Diceros bicornis minor: one gene and its partner. The protein of the gene in region 1 interacts with the protein of each later gene in a pairwise test. Links are inferred from orthologs where the notes say so. Each region holds a gene or a part of one and is shown on either strand. Other genes may lie near its edges.

Evidence for each region.
Region 2: the proteins of TEX11 (region 1) and TSC22D4 interact in a two-hybrid assay, tested with the Homo sapiens proteins (2 studies listed by BioGRID and IntAct). The two-hybrid records come from large-scale screens. The link is inferred for Diceros bicornis minor from reciprocal best matches to the Homo sapiens genes TEX11 and TSC22D4.

The regions. Positions count from the first base shown.
Region 1 is NC_080781.1:64,217,797-64,225,000, reverse strand, and holds the start of TEX11 (testis-expressed protein 11), read left to right. Parts: upstream 1-4,187; 5' UTR 4,188-4,236; exon of another isoform or gene 4,237-4,252; intron 4,253-4,274; exon of another isoform or gene 4,275-4,396; intron 4,397-4,738; exon of another isoform or gene 4,739-4,949; 5' UTR 4,950-4,970; coding exon 4,971-5,007; intron 5,008-7,204. UniProt on the Homo sapiens protein: Regulator of crossing-over during meiosis. Involved in initiation and/or maintenance of chromosome synapsis and formation of crossovers.
Region 2 is NC_080765.1:5,317,251-5,324,404, reverse strand, and holds the start of TSC22D4 (TSC22 domain family protein 4), read right to left. Parts: upstream 3,003-7,154; 5' UTR 2,805-3,002; coding exon 2,043-2,804; intron 1-2,042.

The DNA.
Region 1 (7,204 bases):
GTGCGGGAGTTCTGGCAGGGAGTTCTGGGAAGTCTTGGATGTTGAGGCTTTTAAGCTGGTGCTTAAAGGCTAAGTAAAATGTGTAATTTCACAAACGGGAGGAGAGCATTACAGGAGGAGGGAACATTATGTACAAAGGCAAGAAGACGGAAAAGTTTATAATTCAGTTTGCCCAGAGCCTAGGATTTTGAAGGGGTGAAGTGGAAAAATAAGGCAGGAAAAGTAAATTCCAGTCAGACTCTTGAAAGCCATTAGTTCTAAGGGCTACAACTGAAGGAGAAGTGTGTGGGTAAGAGTGTTAGAGTATGTGAAGGAGAGAGTGGTTCTGATTTGGTTCAATGAATTACACCTCAGCTACCCAGTCACATGGTTATACCCTAGATCTTGCCAGAATCTACACCTCTGAAATCACTAATTCAAGCATCAAGTTCTCTACGCACAACTTCCTGAGCTTCCCCAGCTCACTTGCTCAAGTAACCCCACTGCAACAATTCTTTGACTTCATGAATCCTCCAATTCACTTTCCCCCTCCTACATATGCTTTCTCTCTTTTTATCAGTTTCCTCCAATCTTTGCTTGCTCCCTTTCCCACTTAAATTCCTGAATTTATTATCATTATCACTCTTGCAAATATCTTCACCTCCCTAGGCAATACTCCAGAGTATTCCCGCCACAAAGCAGAGAATCCAAGTATCTTCTCCATACTTGCACCTGTGTAGTTCAGGATTGTTGGAGGCAATCACACCACTGGGCAGGTTAATGATCATCAACCCTCAACACTGCTGGAAATCCTCATTTCTCTCTGATTCCCCTGCTCTCTGAAACAACTGTTTCTTACCTTATTCACATTCTTCAAATCTCTCCCTCCTACTCCCTGCTATTGACTTTGCCTCATACTTTATTGAGAAAACACATGCCCATCAGATAAAAACGCCCTCATCTTCTTGTGGATTTTTTAATGAAAATAGCTTTTTTTCTCCTAATAAAAATATGTGTTCATTGTAGGAAACTGAAAAATATAAAGAGGAAAGTAAAGATTTTCCCAAATCCTACCACTTAAAGATAAACATTGTAAATATTTTGGTAAATATTCTTCCAGACTTTTTTTTCAAATATGCATACAATTTTACATAAATGTATACCTTCTGTATAAACTTTTTTTTTTACGATTACGTATTAGTGGGATTAGTTGGCTCCTGTAGCCACTTATGTCGCTCCCTATTCACACCCAGGTGGAAACAATCCCAAGAGTTTTTTAGTCACTCAAATCTATATAATTATACCTTTTTGAGTAGTTGCTAACTTTTTTCTTGTTTACACTTAATGGTAGGATATAGGCATTTCCCTAGCTTTATACCTTTAGATTGTTTTCTCAGCAACGTTTTTAAAGGCTGTATAAGTATTCCACTATCTGGTACTAATGTACCCTAAGTTGTATAACTAGGCCACATTTAACTAGGTGAACATTTAAGGGGTTTACAATGCTTCAGCGAATGTTTCTGTTAATCTGTCTTCGCAAATTTTTCCAATTTCTTCTTTAGGAAAATTCCTAGAAGAGGAATTGTCTGGTAACAGGGTACACACATTTAAGATTTTGATACATATTGCCAAATTGCCATGCAGAAAAGTTGCAATAATTTCTTGTAAAAAAAGTTGCAATAAAATCTTGTAAAACATCATTAGTTTTCCTTTTTGATTCTGGTTTTCAGATAGTGTTTATATTTTGCCTTTGTGTTTATAAAATATTCACTCATATTTTCTTTTAGAAATTTTATGATTCAGTTTAATCTTTGGTTAATCTAGAATTTATTTTGGTATGTGAAGTGAGGCAGGGATCTAGTTTTATTTTTTAAAATGACTATCCAGTTGTTTCAATACTTTTTCGTGAGTAACTCTTTTCCCCAGTGATTTGAATCATTGCTCTATATATTTGGGTCTGTTTCTGGACTCTCTTTTGTTCCATTTATCTGTCTGTACAATTACCACACAATTTTATTTACGGTAGTTTTAATGTCTGGTATAACAAGCCCCTGTCCCTTACTCTATTATTGCTTTTGTTTTTATAATTTTCCTGACTATAATTGCATATTTATGCTGAAAGTGTTTTTGTTCTTTTAACAAGATATAATGCTACCTTATTAAGTAATTTGCATTCTTCGTTGCTTACTCTCTTTTAATCCACTCTATTAATGAGAATCTTAATTAGCTCTCATTAGATTCCAAGCTGTTCACCAGCCTTATGTACTATTTCACCATTTTTGCTTCAATTTTTCAAAAGGTAGGAGCAGGAAATTTATAGTTTATGCTAGGGTAAGGGAAGATAATCTACGGCATTTTGAATGCCTCTTAATGGCATTTTACTACTCACTCTTGCATATCCTCCTCAATATGCACCTGCTTCTTTTATTATCTCCTTTCCTCTTCTCTCTCTCTCTTTTACTTTTTTTCTGTCCTTTTAATTCTCTCTTTCTTATAGCATCTAGGGAGGCCATCTAGATCAAAAACAAAAATATTGGAGATACTCATACAACATAAGGGTTTCCACCCTTTCTGCATATTTTCCTTTATTCACTGGCCCTTTCAATGCAGTGGTGCCTGCTCAGTAGCTCTGACTTTGGAGTCATATTTACAGTCAGTATTAATCAATAGAGTCATTTGATTCTGTATGCCTTATATAATCCTGGATAATATAATATCCATTCTACTACAGACATTATTAATCACTAAGAGCTCTAAGATGTGTGTGAAGAGACCACTGCAGGCTTGAGAGCTGAGGTCTAATTATCGCCCTATTTGTTCATCTGTTCATCCATGAACAAAGAAGTTATGGTAGAGCCAGGGGCCTGGGTGGGATGATGAAAGTTGGGAGCCCTTAGTTTGCCAACCAGGAAATGGGGAACGATAATGGGAACTAACATTTGTTAAGTATGTACTATATGCCAGCCACTGTTCTAGATGATTTATGTACACTATTCTATTGAACCAGAAGCCTAGAACTACTTTTATTCCCATTCTGCAGAAGAGGAAATTGAGGTCCTGAGATTCTAAGTAGCTAGCACCAGGTCACAAAGTATGCGGTGCATGAGGATTCAGTCAGCTATGGGACACTCTACTGCCCTTTTCCACCAGACTTCTTCCTCTAATTTAGCAATCTAGGATTGTGAAATGAATACCAAATTGCAAGATGCAAAAGAAGAGAAGTTAATAGCAGTACTTTCTCTGTTTTCCCTTTTTTCTTCACTCTATGTGATCTAGATGCAGAAAATTTTGAAGAAGGAAAGAAATTATTTTTAGAAACTCCATCTTTTCCATGATAAATAATCACTGATTTTGAGTCTTAGGGTCAGAAGGGAACTCTGTTAATGTTCCCAGAATTGAAGCCACAATCTCTCTTCTTCATCCTGTTAGCCAGTTCCCTAGCTGACTTGACTGAGGTGCATAAGGCTTAAAAGAGGGGTATGTGAGGGAAGAAGTGGGAGGCTTGTTAATGTTTTTTGTTTTTGGTGCTTCTCCATATTTGGAGGCATCATGCCATAACACTGTTGTCTCTGAGTGGAGCTTTAAAGTAGAGGCCAACTCCTTGATTGCAAGCATCACCTATAGATTCAGCTGGAATCAAACATGTTTACTTACATATTCCATCCCCATCCCTAAAACCATTTGTTTGGAGATGGGTGGGACCCCTGCCCTTGCTGTGAGCCTGTAGAGGAGTCATTAGTTAGTTTCCTTCGGATTTGACAAGGACAGGGCAGCAGAAACATGTCTTGGAACTACAGGGTTTTTCAGTTTCCTCAACTTCTGATATTGCTGACCTTCGCCACTCACGATTAATCAGTGGGCAACATTGTTCCTTCCTTCCTCCCTCCCTCCCCTCTCCTCTTTCCTCTCCCTCGTCCCTACGTCCCTTTTCTTTCTTTTGAAGGCCTGCTCTCCTCTTTCCCATAACCCTGGCCATCTGCACTCTTCCCTCAATAATTGTAGTATGCTTCCAGTACTGCACCATACTTCCTTACGCTCAGTGATTCTCACCCCTGCCCTCTGAACTAATCCCCAGGATTGAAGGCCTAGACTGCGCCCCAAGGCTTAGGCTCGCGATGTGAGATAGACAGTAAAGGCCAATAGGAAGTGGTCTTTGATTGACGTCACTGTAGGGGGAGGAGCTTTCCAAGCGTCGTCGGGCACTGTGGACGGAGTTTGTGGAGACAGCACTGTGGCACGTTGGCGGTCCCGGCTGAGGTGACTGATTTAGTAGGTAGGAAGGGCTAGAGGAGGGTCAGGTACGGGTCAGTTGAGTGGTTTATAACTAGCAAGAAGATGCGGCCATTAGGTCAACACTTTTTAGAGTGGCCCTGAGGCAATGATTTTGAACCACAGAGCTGCTGTAGCTGACTCTCAGGTGAAAGAAGATGGGCAGAGGCAGGATTTTTTGACTTGGATGAAGTATGGGGCGCATTGTGGGGTCATTGAAAGCGGGAGACAGTAGTTATTGTAGTTTGGATGTGAAGGACCTACATTCCGTTGAAGCCGTATGGTTGGTGACTGTTGGGGGCGGGGAGCTGAAGGCGCGCTAGCTGGGTCTGTGAGAGCGGGAAAAAGGCCAGTGAGTGATTGGGTGCTTTGAATGTATGGGCGGTGGAGAGAGGGATTTTGAACCAATTAGGAGGAGGCAACGAGTACCAGCCAGACAAATCACAGGGTACCCTGGTTTCCTGGTTGCCAGGCGGATTATGGTAAGAAAAGATTTGGGATGAAAATTTCCTCCGAGCCAGATTCCTGTGACATGACTCCTGGCCCCACCCCTCGTTAACTACTTTTTCTGAGTTTTAAAATTTCTTCAGCATTTTTTTTCCTTTGGGTAACAGGTAACTGGAAAAATTTCACTGAAAAGAAATTTATTGAGGAACTGGAGGATAAAGGACAGAAGATTAAAATTTTTTTTTATTTCATAGGCTTGAGCCAGAGATTTAAAAATGGACGATGTTGATTTTCGTTTCATGGACTTTAAAGGTATATAGCTTTACATGGTAGTAAAGAAAATGTCAAACTGTTTGCTGCCTTATCTAAAATCTTCTAAATGTATTTTGTTTCTGAATTTTATCTCTTTGGAGTATCCATAGCTCCAAGTTTTCTTATTTGTGTACCAGAAAAACAATGTAGATGTTTAAGACACTGGAACCCTTTTATATGCTAGTGTAGGGAAACTGAATTCACAATTCATAGCTTGTTTTCTCAGGATTTTTATTGCATGCAAATTAACATTGGTTTAATCTGAAATAGAAATCTACTGCGTTAAATGTACATTAAAAAAATTACTGCAAGATCCTGGAGTGCCTTTCCAAAATCATCAGTGAAAAATAAATTATATCCTGTATAGTTTTAGGTTTAACTGCATTTTATTGTATCTTAATTCTTTTGAAAATTGGTAATCTCTGTATGGTATTTATGGTAATTGTTAATAAAAGCAATTTGACTAGAACAAGAGATTCCTCAACCGTGCCAGATATGGGAATGTTTACACTATTTCTTTTTTTCTGGGTACATGATTAGACCTGTGATACATTCACATTCATATATTCACATTCATATATATTTCACGTTATTCATATAATAATGACATATGTGTAGCCAGGGTGGCTACAAATCCATGATTTAAAAATGTTTAGGTCAATATTTTGTTAATTCTTGTCATTTTAGCACAACAGCAACAAAGCCCACTACCTCTTACCTTATGTTTTAATTTAGGATATGGTATCTTAAAGATATAAACATGGAATAAGGATTATGACTTTTAAGTATATTGTATTTGAGCCCTTGTATTTATATAATATTTGAAGCACACAGAAAAGTATAGAAAATAATATAATGAACACCTGTATACCTACCAGTAAGTTTTGTTGAATCTTAACAGTTTGTCATATGCTTCAGGTATTTCATTGTTTCAAAGAACTAGAAGATTAGATGCACCGGTTAGTCATCTTTGAAAATTTTACATAAATTGTATCATTTTGTATGATTTTTTTCTGTAACTTGCCTTTTTTTGCTCAGCATTATGTTTTGGATATTTACCCATATGGATATTTTAGCTCTAGTTCATTTATTTGCCCTGCTGATTAGAACTATTACGTTGAATAGAAGTACAATTTATTTATCCAATCTCCTTTGTTGTTGTTTCAAATATGTTGTTTTAACATATGAGTTGTTTTAAATATTTGCTGTTACATAACAACAACACTACAATGAACATTGTGTTTCCAAGAGCTTAGCAGGAGCTTTCAAGCATTTCTGACTACCACTCATGGCAAGGAAATATATTTTACATCACATCCCAGTACATACACACCATAGCAAAAGTTTGAAACAGTCTTACCCTTATTACACGCAGTGCACTATGATGTTTTCTATTCTATGCTTTTTAATTAAAAAATGCTGGTTATGACCAACTAAATTGATTTATTTCTTGAGCACTAGTGGGTGAGGATCTAGGGCAGTACTGTCCCATTGAACCATAGTGCAAACACAAATAATTTTATATTTTCGAGTAACCACATTAACAAAAGCTTAAACAGATGAAATTAATTTTAACATTACAAATTATTTAGCTTAGTATATCCAAAATGTTATCATTTCAACATGTAATCAATACAAAAATTATTAATGACATATTTTACATTCTTTTTTTTCTTACAAAGTGTTTGAAGTCCAGTATGTATTTTATTTATACTTAAAGCATATCTCATTTTGGACTTGCCACATTTCAGGTGCTCAGTAGTCACATGTGGCTAGTGGCTACCCTCTAGTGGCAGTGCTGTTCCAGGGTATATACATTTAGGAGTGGAACTGATGGGTCAAAAGCTATGAGCATCTTTAACTTTATAAGTATTGTCCAATTGCTGTCCAAAGTAGTTTAACAATTAATATTCCCTCTCTCTTTCTCTTTTCCCTATATCCTTGCTAATATTTGGTATTATCAGACAAAAAATTTTGTAGATGTGAAGGGTATTGTTGTTTTTAATTAACGTTTTATTTTGGAATAATTTTAGATTTACAGAAAAGTTGCAAAGATATTGCAGAGAGTACCCATATACCCCTCAGCCAGTTTCATTTACCCTAATGTTATCATCTTACATAGGTGTTGTTTTAATTTGCATTTCCCTGATAACTAGTAAAGTTGAGTGTATTTTCATAGATTTATTGGCCATTTGAG
Region 2 (7,154 bases), on another chromosome or scaffold:
CTCACGGGGTATCAGAGAGGGGCTCTGGTCTGCACTCCAGCATCTTCTGCCAGCTGAACCAGGACCCCTAATCAGAGGCTAGTCAGAGAGTGTCTGCCTTCTGTCACTTGGCTTCTTAAAGCAAGTCAAATGTCACTTCCTCAGAGAGGCATTTCCCCATCATTCTAGTAGTGGATTCCCCCGAACTGTTCTATTTTTTTATAGCACCTAATATTATAGGAAATTAAAGTATTTTTGTCTCTCCGCTGCTAGAAGGTAAGCTCCAGAGGGCAGAGCTTAGTTTATTCAATAGCTATTTGTAGAATGAATGAATCCTCAGAAACTGGTCCTCCACGCCCCCCACCCCCCCACCTCCCATTCTAGCCTCTCCTCTCAAACTTCTCGGTCTCAGGTGAAGTTCTGCTCCTGCGCTTGCTCCCTCCTTGGGGGTGGGGGGGAGTGGTTGCAGAGATGGGGGGAGGCGGAGCCTGGGTGTGGACCCACACAGTCCAACAGGCGCTGGGGGTGGCTGCAAAAGGGCGGGGGCCACAGGAACAAGACGCCTCTGTGAGGCCCCAGGAGGCCCCAGCTTCTCGGAAAAGCCAAGAACTGAGTCCAGGGTGGTTAGAGGGACAGAGCAGAGGAAGGGGGCCCAGGTGGCATGGGGGAGTGTGGAAGGGAGACGGACTTCTGGGCAGGGAAGCAGCAGCACAGATGCAGGCACACAGGAAGGGATCAGGATGCAGGGGAAGCAAAGGGGCTGGGGGCACTGAAGGGAGAGGGGCAGGGTCAGCGGGCCCAAGGGAAGCTCAGGCAGGGGTTAAGGACAGACAGAGGCTGGGGCGAAGGGGGCCTGCTTTGGAAGAGTGTGGGGACAGGGACCAGTAAAGGAAACAGCGTCTTCTCCCCTGGGGTAGGAACTGAATGAAAGAGCTCAAAAAAAAACTCAAGAAAAGTAGGGGTGAGGGGAGCACGAGAGATGTGAGCTTGCGGCCAGAAGGGGTGGGGGGGAGCCAGTCCTGACCGGTCCTGACAGGGCCCAGACACCCAGTCTCAGGCTATTTTTATACTGTGGTCTGTGCCCAAGGCCAGGAAGGGGAAAAGCTCTCATCCTCACACTCCCTGACTTTCCTCCTGCAGCTCAAGGTGTTATTTTCTCCTTCAGGACAGACACATCCAACCCCCACATTCCTCGCTGCCCACCCCCCACCCCAGGGACCCAGGCATCCTGCCCCCCAGCCCAGACTTGTTCCTCTTTTGGAGACAGGAAGCAGAGAGAGCAAAGGATTTAACTCTTTCTCAGCTGCTTCCCACCTCTCCCACTCCATGGTGGCCACCCCTAGTTATCGATCCTGGAGAGGCCCAGATGCAGGGAACTGAGACAGACAACCGGGGGTGGAAAGGACATACCAGCAAGGCCCCCATCCTTGTAACGGGCCCCCCACCCAATTCCTCAGGTCCTCGGAAAAATTTGGCTTAAGACAAAGCTGAAGACGGGGCTGGGATGGGTGTGTAGTGGGAAAAAGAAGACCCCCACCTTTGGAATGGGGCTACAAAGGACAGACTTAGAACAGAATGCCTACTTGTTAACCTGCCCTGCCAACCTTGGCAGCTCCTCTCCCAGAGGCCCAACCACCCAGCCCTGCCTGGGGCCTCCACCCTCAACGCCTGAAGCCAGAAGGGGTGAGACCAAGACAGAAGGTGAAGGCCAGCATGGGGAGGCCACATCCCTGTGATGGAGAGATGGGACTACGCTATATGGAGATGGCGACTTGGGCCAAAGGCAACAAATGACAGGCCAAAAAGAAAGAAAGAAGGTGCAGAATGTGGGGAAGAGGGAGCCTGAGAGAGAAAACAAAGGCAGTGAGAGGAGGAAGAATGGACTTCCAAGTGAGATGGCAGGAAAAAAAATGAGAGGCTATCTGATCTGACAGACAGGTGCTGATGAAGTGAGGAGAAAGTGGTATGGAGGTGGAGGCAAGGAGGCCCAGGCTGGAGGTTAGGCCAAGGCTGAGACGCACCACCCCTCAGGTGTCTCCCCGACTCTGGAACCCAGCTCTTACCTGCCCCATCTCCTCTGGAGGAACCAACTCCGTCCTCAGCCGCAGGGCTCCATCCTTCGTTCGGGACAGTGGAGGGGTCACGGCTGCTGAGCCCCCAGCCTCCACTTCCACCCTCAGGGAGGGCAGGGGCGTGGCGGCACTGGGCGGCCCCATGCTATCCCCAGTCCCAGGCTCTGGGGGGTGCTGCTGCGGTGGGGAGGCTGACATGGGGGGTGTCTCCCCCTTGGCCTTGCCAGGCACCGCCAGCTGGCCCAGCCCCCCAGTGAAGGAACGGGCCTGAGGTCCAGGGGAGGTGGGAGGCGGGCGGAGCCAGGAGGTGGGGCCCTGAGACAGGCTTGGCTGTGGGGTAGGGGCGCCCAGGCCCAAGCTGGCCAGCTCCAACCTGGAATCCAAAGATCTGCCCCCGGTACCCCCCGAGGCCCCTCGAATTCCCTCCAGGAGCCTGCCAAAACTAGGGGGCTCCAGGTCTCTCTCGTAAACATCCACACACGTCCAACGGCCTCGGCGATAAGGCTCTCCCAGGCCGTGGGGCAGCTTCACCACCCGGAAACGGGAGGCTGGGGCCCCAGGCGGCGGGGAGCCATTCCGGGGGGTGCCCTTGCCCCCCGGCTCAGGGTTGGGCTCCCCATTGGGCAGGCGGGGCGAGGGCCCGGTGGGGGCCGGCGGGGTAGGGGGATCTGGATCCCCTGGGCTCCCTGGGCCGTCGTAGTCCGTGGTGACGCTGGTGATTTGGAAACTACTCTTCTTCTTGCCCCCACTCATGGTCCTTGGGGCTCAGGACTAGGCCAAGGTGGGCAGGGGGGCAGTGGTGGATCTTCGAAGGGGCTCAGGCGCCCCTGGAACAGGGGGGCCACATGGCGGGTACATCAGGGCCCCTGGGGCCGTCTGGGTCCGACATGGCAGGAGGGCCTTGCGGGGAACTGGGGGTGCCTGGTTGGTGAAGGGAGAACAGGGTAGGGGTGGTGGCAGGAGCGGGGGTGGGGGGGGCCCGGCAGGGGCAGGTTTTTCCTGCTGCTGTCGCTGCCGAACTCCAGAGCTGAGTTTGCAAACTGGAAAAAGAGAGAGAGTGTGTATGTGTGAGAAAGCAGTGGGCAGGCCACCTCCGGGGCTTCCTCTCTGGGGAGCAGGATGGGGGAGGAAGGGGAAACCGCCAGAGACCCAGAGACAAAGAGACAGCCAGAGACGACAGAGACCAGGGCAGACGGGACGGATCCGAGCGCGCGCACAGAGCAGGAAGAGGCAGCCCAGACCCAAAGTTGGGCATTTCTCGCCTGGGATTCAAACTCACGGGACCGAGTCGTCCCAAGGGCAAGGGCTCCAGGGCCTGGGGGAACGGGGGTGAAGCAGCTCCTCGGCCTGGCCCGGCCACCGGGAGGCCTCTGCTGAGCCTCGAGGCCCGGCACCCCAGCTCCCCCATCCCTGGGGCAGGCCCTGCCCCTCCGGCCCAGCGCCCCGCCCAGCCCAGAGCCCTACCTCTCGGCTTCGGCCACCGAGCTGGGCCGGGGGTTCCGGCTGCCTAAGACGTCCGGCTGTCCTTTTCCTGGGGCCTCCCGGCCCCAGCAGCGCGGGGCGCGCAGGTGGCGACCAGAGGCTGTCCGGTCCTCTTCAGGGGCAGCACCTCGCCCCGCAAGGCATCTCCGTGAAAAGTTTGCCCTCCAGTAAAGAAGGAACCCCCGCCTCCTTGGTGGAGTCCAAGCGCGGCCTCTGAAGCCCCAAGGGTCTCCGGACCGATGCGGGAGGGGGCGGCTCAGCCCCCCGCTCCTCCAGGTGGAGCCGCCTCGGTGGTCGGGGCGAGTGGGTCTCCCAAGTCTCCTCCCGCGTGGCCTTGCTGGGTCTCTCTCGGCTCCTCAGCTCCTCTCAGTTCTGTCTCTGTCTTTCTCTTTCTGGGCTGTTGACAACCCCCACACCAGGAAGTCCTGCCTCCTCGGGCCTGCTGACTGCTCCTCTCCTCCTCCTCCTCCTCCTTCCCCTCTTCCTCCGCCCCCTCTCCTCCTGGGGCTCCCGGCCAGCTGGCCCGGGGCCAGGCCTGCCACCGCCGCTGCTGGTGCAGTTGCTGCGGCTGCTGCGGCTCCTGGGGCCCCGACCGAGCTGCCTTAACCCCACACCTGCTGGGCCCTAGCCCAGCTCTTCCTCGGAGGGAGGGGCTGTGGAGGGCGGAGAGAAAGGGGAGGAGTTTGAGCGAGGCCAGGGATTCCCTTACTTGTAGGCGCTCGCTGCCATTGGCCTACAGACACCCAGGAGTGGGAAGGAGCTTAGCCGGAGCTCTGCTGGGCGCCTGCCGCCCCGTAAGCGCCCAGTAAATGTTACGGTGCTGCTGCAGCTGTTAGTGTCATGTCTTCGCTGGTTCTCACAGTAACTGTACGAGGAAGGTTATTCTCCCCTGTCCTGATTTTAAAAAGTGGATTATTATGACAATTTTCAAACATGCCCCAAAGTAGAGAGAGTAGTGTCGACAGTTATCAACTCACAGCCAGTCTTGTTTCATCTGCCCCCCAATATCTTTTGTTGTTTTGTGCTGGAGTATTTGAATCACATCCCAGACATCATAGTATTCCCCTTCTTAGATGTGGAAATTGACACCCAGGAGGTTCAGAAAAGCTGTCAGTGGTGGCGCAGGGACATTTCATACAGTCAGAGGTGTTCTTGTCTGGCCCCCAAACAGAGAGACAATGAAGACACTCTCGAGAAGGTGCTGACTGGCACTTTCTTTCCAACCGCTGGTCACACATATGTATGTACACGCAGTCACCCAACACACATGTGGCTGAGGATGACGAACCCAGCTGGCCACCAGCATGGGCCCCTCCCTACCTCTCACCCTTCCTGCCTTTCCCATCCCGTCCCTCCCTCACTCTGGTGAGTCCACACACACTCATAAAGGGCCTACTATGTGCTTGGCATGAAAGAATAAACTGCCATTTTCTCTTTTTTGGCTCCCCCAACCAACATTCTAAAAGGAGTTATTTTAGCAAGAGCCATGTCTAATGGCCACATCTGCCCTCACTCCCAGGTTCAGAAGGAAATGGAGTGTAATTAATTTGGGTCAAATGGAACGGGTCTAGAGCATATTAAAAATTCCTCGTATTTGTCCACTTCACATGGTTATCTCATGGATTCTCAAAACAGCCCTGGGCAGAAGTGGGGTGGGTTTTGAGCTAGTGTTTCCGCTAAGGAAACTGAGGCTTACAGGCATTATTTGCTCAAGGCCTCAGAGCAGGTGTTGGATGGCGTTGAGACCAGTGCTGGGCTCTGACACATCCCTCCTTCCTCAGCTTTGGCTCATGGAAATTTTTTTTTTGTTTTTTTGGGGTTTTTTTTGCTAGGTAAGATTAGCCCTGAGCTAACATCTGTGCCAATCTTCCTCTACTTTATGTGTGGGTTGCTGCCACAGTGTGGCTGACAAGTGGTGTAGGTCGGCAACCGGGATCCGAACCTGTGGGGAATGTGCAGAACTTAACCACTACTGCAGGGAGCTGGACCCTCATGAAAATTTTTAATCACTCTTTAGGGTTAAGCAAAAACAAAATGATGCAAAATCCTTTGCCCCACGTTTATATATTTATTCTTTATCTCTTTGTTAAAATGCGTCTCTACTCCTGCCTCTCTCCCTTCATGGAGACAATGGCTACCATAGCCAAGTCCTGAGGCCTCCCAAGGCGTGAGGTCCAGGAAGCAGCTGAAGTAGCCTCCCACACAACTCCCCCTCCAACCCCCTCCTCTCTGGCAATATTCAGAACAGAGCCCTGTGCTCCGCCCGGGATCCTTCAGCGCAGACTTGCTACGAACTATTCAAAACTTATCTTGGGACCCTCCCCTTCCCACCAGCTCAGACGCTCAGCATCAACTTGGACTCCTCCATGTCTGCAGTCGCTGGGACGTTGTTGGTCTCTGTGGACATGCTTGTTGAATGAATAAATAAAAATTCATTCACACTAAGGCGTAAATGTGAAAGGACTGGTATGTATTTTATTGTTTTTCCTCCCCTGGAGGCATTTATAACAGCCCTTTAATGTGTGGGGCCCTTTACGATTTACAAAGCTCTTGGTAGTCATTATTTTGCTGCCTCCCAACCACTTTATTGAGGTAGGTATGAGATGAGGCATCTCTCAGAGGGGCTGTGCCATTTGCCCAAAGCTGCACAGCACATCAGCAAAGACTTTGCCATATAAAGTAACATTCACAGGTTCCAGGGATTAGGGCGTGGATATTTTATGGGGGTCCATTTTTCAGCCAGTTAAGGGTAGAACCGAAGTCTTGCAGCTATTGTGCGGCAAAGAGATTTCCAAGGGAGAATTTCTCAGGGAGCCGATGAGAAAGGTGATGCGAGGCGGGGGGCGAGGTCGCGACCCTCCGCGGCCGCCGCGACCGCACCTGGGCCGTGGCCGCGGTGGTCCCAGTGAGAGGCCGACCCCGGGGCGCCCAGGTCTCGGCAGGCGCCGCCAGCGGAGTCAAAGGTTAGTGGGAGGGTGACTTGGGCGGCGGGGACGGACGGGTGGAAGACTTTGAGCCCAGGCGGTGAAACAAGGTCCGGGCGCCTGCGAGGCTGCAGGGATAAGCGACGGGTACCAAGCGAGCCAGCTCCCGTGCCCTCCCCGCACGTGGGGGGCGGCGGGAAGACGGGGCGCGGCCAAGGGAGCACGCCCCCTGCTGGGTAGAGACGCAGATGGTCCGGCTTCCCACTCAGAGCCCCTCGGCCCGGAAAGCGGCCCCCCCTGCCGGCCTCGCCACCTCACTGCACTCGGGGCCCCGCAGCTGCAGCCTCGCCCCGGCCCGACGCGGGGTGCGCACCCGGGGAGCGCCTGGCGCACGGGGTACGCGCGTCGGTGCAGACCCCCGGCTGCCGCTGGGGGGCGCCGCTGCACGCTGCGCCCCGCTTCGCTCCGCCGGGGCCTTGGACACTGAACCGAGCACGGCCCGGCCGGGCCAGGGGCGAGGGGAGGCGAGGAGCGGACGCCCCAAAGCGGGGGCGGACTGGCGCCAGGTCCCCCGCGCCCCACGATCTTTCTCCGAGTCCCCCTGGGGGCTCCGCGGCCCTCGTGCCCCCCACCCCAGCCTGGCGGCGCAGCACAACGCGGCCGCTCCAGCTCCGTCCTTGGAGGGTGTGGAAGGGTG